2 linked regions of the Arabidopsis thaliana genome follow. The protein of the gene in region 2 interacts with the protein of the main gene of each other region in a pairwise test. Each region holds a gene or a part of one and is shown on either strand. Other genes may lie near its edges.

The links.
Region 1: the proteins of AT1G04340 (region 2) and AT3G50910 interact in a two-hybrid assay, tested with the Arabidopsis thaliana proteins (one large-scale study listed by BioGRID).

What each region holds. Positions count from the first base shown.
Region 1 is NC_003074.8:18,917,521-18,922,995, reverse strand, and holds AT3G50910 (netrin receptor DCC), read right to left. Parts: upstream 3,670-5,475; 5' UTR 3,210-3,669; intron 2,812-3,209; 5' UTR 2,808-2,811; coding exon 2,042-2,807; intron 1,667-2,041; coding exon 1,244-1,666; intron 1,152-1,243; coding exon 997-1,151; 3' UTR 695-996; downstream 1-694. Other genes in the region: LPPepsilon1 (Phosphatidic acid phosphatase (PAP2) family protein), read left to right, coding at 1-104, 190-263, 366-593; AT3G50900 (uncharacterized protein), read right to left, coding at 4,530-4,874.
Region 2 is NC_003070.9:1,162,330-1,166,991, forward strand, and holds AT1G04340 (HR-like lesion-inducing protein-like protein), read right to left. Parts: upstream 2,533-4,662; 5' UTR 2,409-2,532; coding exon 2,341-2,408; intron 1,758-2,340; coding exon 1,643-1,757; intron 1,552-1,642; coding exon 1,462-1,551; intron 1,376-1,461; coding exon 1,277-1,375; intron 1,124-1,276; coding exon 1,016-1,123; 3' UTR 576-1,015; downstream 1-575. Other genes in the region: AT1G04350 (2-oxoglutarate (2OG) and Fe(II)-dependent oxygenase superfamily protein), read left to right, coding at 2,967-3,472, 3,544-3,865, 3,955-4,209.

The sequences.
Region 1 (5,475 bases), on a different chromosome or scaffold from region 2:
ACTTAACCAAGAGAGGCCTACTACAACATTGCGATCTGATCCCGGGATGCCATCTTCTCATGCTCAATCCATTTCTTTCATATCTGTCTTTGCTGTTTTATCCGGTAAGCAGCTTAAGCTGTTCACTACTCATCGTTCGCTATCGTGGAACTGTTTACAACGGATTCACTCGAGTCGTGTTTTCTGCAGTTATGGAATGGCTTGGAACCAACGGTGTGTCTTTGTTTCTTAGCGGCTTAATCCTCGCATTGGGTTCATACTTTGTAAGTCTGTTATAACAAGTTTCACCTAATTGATTCAAGCTTTTCATTCATATATGAAATCATTTAGTTGCCATTGATCTCACACTCTCTGCACTATCACAGATACGGTTAAGGGTTTCTCAAAAACTGCACACAAGCAGTCAAGTGGTGGTGGGTGCCATTGTTGGTTCTCTTTTCTGCATCTTATGGTACACAATGTGGAATTCGCTTCTTCGTGAAGCCTTCGAGGCATCTCTATTAGTGCAAATATCTGTATTTCTGTTTGCAGCTACATTTGCGCTAGCTTTCGCAGCGTACGTTGTACTTAACTGGTTCAAAGACGAGAGATAAGCAATACCAAGCTTTACTTATAAAGCTTAAAATTGTTATCCCTCAAATTCTTTTCAAAATATCGAAATGAAGGATTCAGAGCCCGTTTGTTAAAATCAAGATTTTAAAAAATAAGGTTTCTTTAAGATGTAAGCAAGGCAAGCACCTTACACTAGAGCTAACATTGAATGTTAATAAGAACCAAACCGAACCAAATATTAGTGACTGTGGCTGCCACTCATCAGTATGCCACCGCAAGAAAAATGTGTTTGCAGCTACTCGGAGCTATACATCCTCTTGAGAACAGTTAAAACAATAACCAAATATGTATATATTTCTATTCACAAGGCGTACGCTAAACGTCCTGTATCTTTATTTCTCTTGCTTGCATCAAACCCACTACGTATACAAGAGACTTACTTAATCATTCATCCTTAAGAGATACTTCAGATGATGGTTTGGCTGCAGGAATGTAAGACCATGCCAATGCCGCGCTTCCTAGAGTAATGGTTGCTGCAATTGATCCCCAAATCCATCTCTGCCTCTTCTTTCTCTTCTGCCTCTCTCGTCGTGCCACCTCTGGTATCAACAGAGTTGTGAGATTAGATTTTTATTATACGATAGAAAATGACAATGGATAAATTTGGTGAATGAGAGTGATTTTCTACTACCTATGGCTTCTTGGTTTCGTTGAGACATCTCTCTGTTCACGGCCTCGTAGTAGTGTAGACGGTCAGACAACCGTGTGATTTCAAAGTTCTTAGTTTCGAGCATAGATTCCATCTCCATCTCTACCTCGGCCTTTGCCATACCTCTGCCTAAAGAGTCAGAGACAAACCTCGCAATCTCGAGTTGACAGCGTAGTTCTTCTGATAGATTCATGTTGTTGGTGGAGGCGGTAGGATCAATAGGAACGAACAGACCCACCTGAGCCATCTGCTCACGGAGTCTCTGCCAGTGAATTTGCATCTGCTCCAAAGCCTCCTCTGTCTGTTTTCTCTTCTCGATTTCCATTAGTAAACTCAGCCTTATCTCACTTAATTCAGATTCGATGTTATTAACTGAACTCTGCATTCCACTGTCGGTTGATAGTTCTGAAAAACCAAGAAATTAGATGGATTACAAAATACTAAATAGTTCCGAATCATAGAGTCGAGTTAAAGCTTAACTTTCAGGATACTTTGCAGATACTCATCAAGGGAAATGAATAATGCATTAATCATCATGATTTGGAAAGATAACTCATCACTTTCAAATTTCAATATATCCAGAAGAAAACAAAATTCCAAAGCATGACAAGGCGCTACTACTGCATATTAAAGAAAGAATACCCTCAAATGCTCAAAGGTTAAAAAGAAGGGACTCTAAAATGTGACTAATCATATTATCCTGGGAACGTTAAGATCATAAGCATTGACAGCCATCTCATAAGGAAATGATTAGTAAGAGAATAAGATTTAGATAAGTACCATCCCAAGCATCATAAAACTCTCCCACAGGTGTGGCAAGTCTTTGTGAACTTTCGTCCCCAGCATCACCCTCTACGTCTGTGTTACTTGTGAAGCTTGCTGATTCACCTGGGTCATAGAAATCTTCTGACTCACTCTCCTTGTCTGTTTTAATAGGGACTGGCTCAGACAGACCATTTACCCGTTCTAAACCATTAGCAGCGTTATCCAACTCTGACTTCCCATTCCCACTTTTCCCATCAAGCGGACTCCAATTTCCAACAGGACCATCAACAATACCATCAAAATTATAGTTTCCAACCGTACGAGCATGAACTCCATTGGAATAATCATCTTCAGTAACCTCAGTGATAGGAAACGAGAAGGAAGTGGACCTCCTCCGAGGGGAAACCTTTACATCTGTTTCAGCAGTAATAGTTTCCTCTTCCAGCGTCTTCTGGTGGGAAGAAGACACAACATTAGCCTCAGAAGAGCTTTTAAGAAGACGTGGAGGTCCACGTGATTTGTGGTTGATGATATAAGGCGACGGTGGGAAAGACGATGGCGAATTAGGAAGCGGAATCGCATCAGGTGTGGCGTAGAGAGCAGGTGACATCAGAGGACGAGTAACTGTCCTCTCATTAGGTAATTTACCTTTACCTTTCTCCAGTTTTGATATCGGTGGCTTTGAATAAAACAAATTAGTTGTGCTTGGAACACTCTCGACAGACGTGGAAGCCCCTGGCTCTAGCATTCTATCCAAAGCAATAGCAGAAAAAGTAGGCATGGCTCTGCAATCATTCAAGTATCAAATTAGTAATAAAAAAAAACCGAAACCACAAAGAGCGTTTCTTCATTTCAATCGAATCAGAAATCAACCAACAATGGTCATTCGCATAAGTGAGAATTAGCTATTGGGAAGGTACAAAGCAAACACCGCGTGCTCAAACCACAATCATCGGTATACCTAAACAAAACTTGATTCAATTCTCGCACGAAAAAAAGAAGCTAGCAAAATCAAATCACAAATCTGATAATCTAGAAGCTAACAATAGGTCAAGCCGATGAAAATGAATCGAATCTCTCGAGATTCAGACCTACCATAACGAAAATTTCCAGAAATTTCACCGAAACAACAAACAGAGAAAGGTGAAAACATCAAATCCGGAGGCGTAAGAGAAGGATTTACCTCGAGCGCGAAGGAGATCTCCACGGAAGAAAGCTGAGGAAGATTCAACGGTGAGAGATCGAGGTTATACGGAAGTAAGACGACGGCGGAGAAGATAAGAAGAAGCGTGATACGACATCGTTAAGAGGAGAGGAGGGAAGAAGAAGAAGAAGAAGAAGAAGAAGAAGAAAACCTCTTCTCCAAGGCTTTTTTTATCTCTTCTCAGCTTTGTATCTCCGCAAATATTTGAAACGCTCTGTTTTTTTTTTTTCTTCTTCTTTGCTTCTTCCTCTATTCTTGGCGACCCATTTTCTGATTTTCTTCGTTTTATTTTTATTTTTTTAAAACGTGTCTTTGGGAGACATTTGGAAAGACGGATATAACCTTTGACGGTAAGAGTTACAGCAAAGGACGGCGCTATACAATGAAGGGGTACTTTGTGTAAATAAATCGACGGTAGGGTTTCGTGAAGTGGTCGAAACGACGTCGTCCAAGGGATCTTGTTTAAGTGGGGTCACATCTCGAATATTCAGAAACGTCACTAAAACGGTGACGTGGCCTAAAAAGCAAATTAACCCATGGCCCAATTTTTGTCTGTTCACGAATCTGTAAAGCCCATTTTGAAAACGATTTTAAAAGTCTTTTTTTATTTTCTTGTCTTCGTCAAATCTGGGATTTTGATAATATTTTTAGAGCCAGGTTTTTCTTAAACGTGTTACGTGACCCATGTGAACACGCTTTTAATAAAGAGCGAGTATTCAAACTTGGTTAACAATATAGTTTTAAAAAAAAACTGGTCTTCACAAGAAATATGAGACTATGATCATATCTATTTTTTTCTCCTTAATATAATAATATTTTATTCGTAACTTTATTTTTTGATGAAAAGGGAAAATCAAATATGCATCTGTTACTGGAAATTTTGAATTTTTCTTCACTTTATTTTGAATTTGTTCTCACTTGATTTTGAATTCTTAAAATAAAAGCTAAGGTGGGAAATGAAGAATATAGAACATGATTCAAAGATATCAGCTCTGGGACCGCTTCTATATTAGCAACTACTACGAATTGATTCAGTTCATATAACATATCCTTTTAAATAAGAAAACCAAAATCAACTTTTTGATCATATATTAAAGTCAAGACCCTTGAACTTATCTTATTCTTCACGGAATCTCCATGAGAGTGTACAAAACACTCATCAATTCGTGCAAAAATGACTAATACATTGTTTGATGCATCTTTTCGAATCGAATCAAGGATTGTTTGGCTTTCTCATAGATTATATATTTGGAAAAAAAAGACGATATACAAATCTTTTATTCATTTTCCTTGACGAATCTATCTGTAATGAATCACTGGTGCGTTAGAACTCGGATCCCACACACCTCCTTCTCTCACATACTCCATATACCTAGCAAACTCTGGTTTCGCCGTTGCTAAACTCTTCTTCTTCGCCGTATTCTTCTTCTTTCTTTGAAAATGAACGTCAAAGAAACTAAACAAAGGATGAACAGAACCACCGGTTGGTTTCGCTGTCGGTGTCTTCTTCACTTCTTGAACCGGGTTTCTTGAATGACCATAAACACTAGCCGGAACGCTAGAGACCCTCTTCAGTCTCGCTTCTTCATCGCCGAGCTTTTCGTAGCCACCATGGATTTTCCTTGTGCTCATGGCTCTAAACATGGTGTGATGTGGTGTGGAAAAAAAGTGGAGTTCCTTTGTTTGTGTTTTAGGTGAGTTCTTGAAACTTTCTTCGTGATGGTGTTGATTTAAGTAGTAGGACAAGTTTGCTTTGTGATATGAAAAGGAAAATAGTAGATCTGTTTGACTTTTATTTTAATTATTGTTGTGTGTATGAGATCTCCAACTAACTAAATTAAATTTTTGTATATGTAATTAATAAAGCATGTGTTAGTGTTACACCCACATGATGTATACATCTTCTTGTTCGTCCCTATTAAATCGCCGGTCAAATGTGTGTTTATGCTGACTATTACGTCTACATCTTTTAGACAAATCAAATGGACAATGGCTTTAGAGTTTAGACTAATCTTCTTTGTCTGATCCATATCTAACAATATATTAATCATGGAAAAATCTAAATTTGGGGTAAAAGTAAGCAGAATAGATCTATTCTAGAATGCTAAATCTGCTCCTTACGATGGTTTAACATCAGACTGTTATCATGCATGTACATGATTATGAATCAGATTTTTCAAACAAAATCAACTTTCTATTCAGACAGAAAAAAAAAAGTATGAATCAGAATTTTAAAACAGCCATT
Region 2 (4,662 bases):
ATCAATTACCAACATAGAAAATTACAAAATATCGAAAATTTCTTAACTCTTGTCCTTTTATCTATTTGGTCTTCAAAAATCAAAATTCTGTTGGTGGCAGTTTTTTTCCCAAACAAACCATTGTTGCAGTCAGTTGTATGTTTGGCATTGTTCGTAACTTTTGTTAATATTTCAATAAATATTAATTGTGTTATAAAAAGCAAAAGAATGATAAAGACGATATGAACTTTAGACCAAGGAGATAATATAACTTTTTTTTCCCTATACCAACTTTAGACTAACCAACACCTTGATTACCTATTTATTTTCTTGAGAGATTTTGTGTGCCACATATAATGGAAAGAATCATATTCTAGTTTAAAACAAAAAGCAATATGTCTTTGAATAATTAATTAATCTCCTATTATAATTATCACAAAAATAATTAGCGGTTTAGGTTCTCTAGAAATAACCTTTATTCAAAACTGAAGTCAGATACGACAAATTTATTGATGTGATATCATATTATTTTACGCATATTAACCTTGTCCGTTGGATTTGTAAAGTTGTAACGGTTGGAACGGATTTGCAAGACAATTTTTAACCATGTATATGATTTTTTTTACAAATAGTAATTGCATGTTTGAGGTATCCGATAAGCTTATTGGACAGCATAAACCTGAATATTAAAAAAATAGGTTTGAAGTAAAATAATTATATCTATTTTACAACAAGAAAAAAATGAAACTTAACGAATCTAACTAACGGTTCTAATTCATAACCCCAGAAAAACCTTCTCGGACCAATTTTTAAAAATCACTGAAAAAAATAATATGATCCAACAAAAGAAAACGGCTTAAATCCCAAAATCATATAAAAACTAATTGATAAAATACAAAATGTGGCTAATTCTAGAATCCTACAATAGATAAGGAACCAAAAGTTGTAAGGAAGAATGACAAAGGTAATGCTTGGAGACATCAGAAGCTCTTCTGAAGCCTACCTGCCTTTGTGTGTGGAGGAGAAGAGAAGAACTCTAAGCAGCTTTAGGCTTGGGAGTCCTCTTCTTCAGAATCCTCTTGGAGCTCGTTGTTGAATTCTTCATTCCGATGAAAAATAGCAATGCCCCGAGAAGCGCAACACTCTGTGATAAAACATTGATTCAAAAGAATGAGAATCATAGAAGAAGGTTCAGAAGAGCCATAAAGGAATATACTTTATTCAGACTAGGTTCAGCTCGAAGAACATGGCAAGAGCAAGCCAAAACGAATAAATGAAGAAAGGTGTATAGACAAACCTGCAAGAATTCAGTCAATAGAAGAGAGAATTGGCGGTCCTCGGGTCCATAGTTGTAGAAATCATATAAAATGGGACTGACAACCACCAAGTAGACAGCCTAATAAGAAACAAAGAATTGAAATCCAAAGTCAATACAACAACTTAACTTTTTGAATACTTAAACAAAAGTGAAGAAATCCTAACCAGAAGATAGGCACCAAAGATGTTGCCGATAACAAAGAGTAAGCCTCCTAGGCCTTTCAGAGCAACAATAGCCCACACGACTTGTTTCACCTTTCAAAATTAGTTTTCCAAGTCAGACGCAACATATATATATAGACAGCATAAGAGACATGAAGACAAGGAATCAACGCAATGGGCATACCTCTAAGTTGGGCAATGATACTCCCAATATGGAAGAGAGATGTGCTTTGGTCAGATCAAGCTTTGGAGCTAACTCTTTAGCTGCTGGACCACCGTCAGTTCCAAAGTCATTGAACCTAATAAGAATTCCAGAGAAGCATAGTTCGGATTTCGTAAGATAATCGACAAGGGGATACTTATAAAGCCTCTACACATATGACTAGTAAACTTTCAAGCAAACAGAGATGTGTATACAAACAATTTAGAGAGCTAAATGGTGTTTTTCAGGATGGAATTGGACTAGCAGAACCTAGAAACCAATCCACCGTATCTCACTTCACCATATATCAGACACAAATAGTGAAGAAACAGACTCTTGGTCATCTAAGTAGATAGAGATCATATGAACAACAGAGCTATTAAAAGGCTCAAGATCAGAGATACCACAGTCTCTTGGAAGCTAACTCTATTTTAAAAGCCTTAAAGAGAGGTTCTCAATCAAATCGGATCTAGCAAGATAAAATCAAGCAAGGGATTATTTAGACAAGCCCTAGATTTAACCCTAGATGTCGCTTAGACCAAATCAAACAGTTTAGCGGAAGATTCTCAATCAAATCGGATCTAGCAAGATAGAAGTTCATCGAAGAAGATGTCGAACCCTAATCCAATAACCGGAGAAACGAGAGAAGAGATGGAGGGAATAAAGAAGAAAAGACTCACATTTGCCAAGCGGAGAGGATGAATAAAGAAGCGAAGAGAACTCTTCCAAGAAAAGAGAAGAAACCCATTTTCTCTATGTCTCCTTGTGTCGTTCTAGGTCGCAGGTGGTCTGATTTGTCGTCGGAGAGACGGATCCTTTCTCGGTGTTAGCTTAAACTTCGGTTCCTCTGCTTTTGTCTTTTTTTTTTTCAGAGAGAAAAAAGATTAATTTATATAATTAACCAATTAAAGGTGGAAAAGAAAAGCTAAACCGAATTGAACCGAAGTATCTAAATTAAAATTTAAACCGAATTTTTATCATTTTTAAAACTCAACCAAGAAGAAGATGAAAAGGCACCGTCATGCTGACATAAGTTCCAGTCCCAATCAACAAAACCGGACATACGTTTTTGATCAAGCTAGAGCAGAATCAATTGATCAAGAACCAAACTAAACCAGCAGCAAAACAGGACGTACGTTTTTCAACCATACAATTCTCAAATTGTCGTTTCTATCTTGTCTTCTCTCACCACAAGAATGCAAAAACATAAATCCATTTTTCTTGATAACCTTCTTCTTCTTCTTTTTGTATATGTATGAAGCAGCTTTTTGTGAATGAATCTTCGAAATAGGTTAAAGAAACAAAAATGGAGACCAAAGAATTCGACTCTTACAGTGAGCGCAAAGCTTTCGACGAGACGAAAACAGGTGTGAAAGGTCTCATTGATGCTCACATCACTGAGATTCCTCGAATTTTCTGTCTCCCTCAAGGTTCCTTATCCGACAAGAAACCTTTTGTTTCTACCACTGATTTTGCGATCCCTATCATCGACTTCGAAGGCCTCCACGTCTCCCGTGAAGATATCGTTGGGAAGATCAAAGACGCTGCATCGAATTGGGGATTCTTCCAGGTGATCAATCATGGTGTTCCTTTAAACGTTCTTCAAGAGATTCAAGATGGAGTTCGTAGGTTTCATGAGGAAGCTCCTGAGGTTAAGAAAACCTACTTCACTCGTGACGCCACTAAAAGATTTGTCTACAATAGTAATTTCGATCTCTATAGTTCTTCTTCATGTGTTAACTGGAGAGACTCTTTCGCTTGTTACATGGCTCCTGATCCTCCAAACCCTGAGGATCTCCCTGTGGCTTGCAGGTAAGTAACTTACGGTTTTTCATTGAGAAATCTTATGAACCGTTGAGCGATCTTATGAAATATTGGCTCAGGGTTGCTATGTTCGAATACTCAAAGCATATGATGAGATTAGGTGATTTGCTCTTTGAGCTTCTCTCAGAAGCTCTTGGTTTGAGATCTGATAAGCTTAAAAGCATGGATTGCATGAAGGGTTTGCTTTTGCTCTGCCATTATTATCCTCCATGTCCACAACCTGATCTAACCATCGGCACAAATAATCATTCAGACAACTCCTTCCTCACCATTCTTCTCCAGGACCAAATCGGTGGTCTTCAAATCTTTCATCAAGACTGTTGGGTCGATGTCTCTCCTATTCCAGGGGCTCTAGTCATCAACATGGGAGATTTCTTGCAGGCAAGGCAATTTCTTCATTGATCCATTCTTTTAAACTTTATTAGTAAAATATACAATGTTGAGAATCTGAGTTTACCTTTGATACGCAGCTAATAACGAATGACAAAGTCATAAGTGTGGAGCACAGGGTGCTAGCGAACAGGGCAGCTACACCGAGGATATCAGTAGCTAGCTTTTTCAGCACAAGTATGCGTCCGAATTCAACTGTTTATGGACCAATCAAAGAGCTTCTCTCTGAAGAAAACCCTTCAAAATACAGAGTCATCGACTTGAAAGAATACACAGAGGGATACTTCAAGAAAGGCCTCGATGGAACATCGTATCTGTCGCATTACAAGATATGAAAGAAAAAAACAATTGAAAGAGTAAATCATCTCAAGTTTATTGTAAGATATTGGTTCGTTTCATGCATCTATTGGGTTCAGGTACTAGTCCAATTGTCAGATCTTGACAAATAAGTAAACCATTTCCTTTGTACCAAAAACAAAAACAACAAAGAAAGGTGTGTGTGTGTGTGTGTGTATAATTTTAGTGAATGCTTTAAATTGGGAATAAAGGTTCAAACTTGATCAGCATCTTGTCAATCACAGTTTCTTGACTAAATTGAAACTAGCAATACCAAAAGAAAGAATTATATACAAGCTAAAGTATAATCAGTAACCAAACTAAACCAGTAGCAAATGTTATTGAACCAAACAAAACCGATCAAAGATTGCTTGTTGTAGCCAACCAAGGCAAACCTGCAACCATTCGGTACTTAGCTCGCAGAAAACTGATCAATACTATCTTCACGGTCT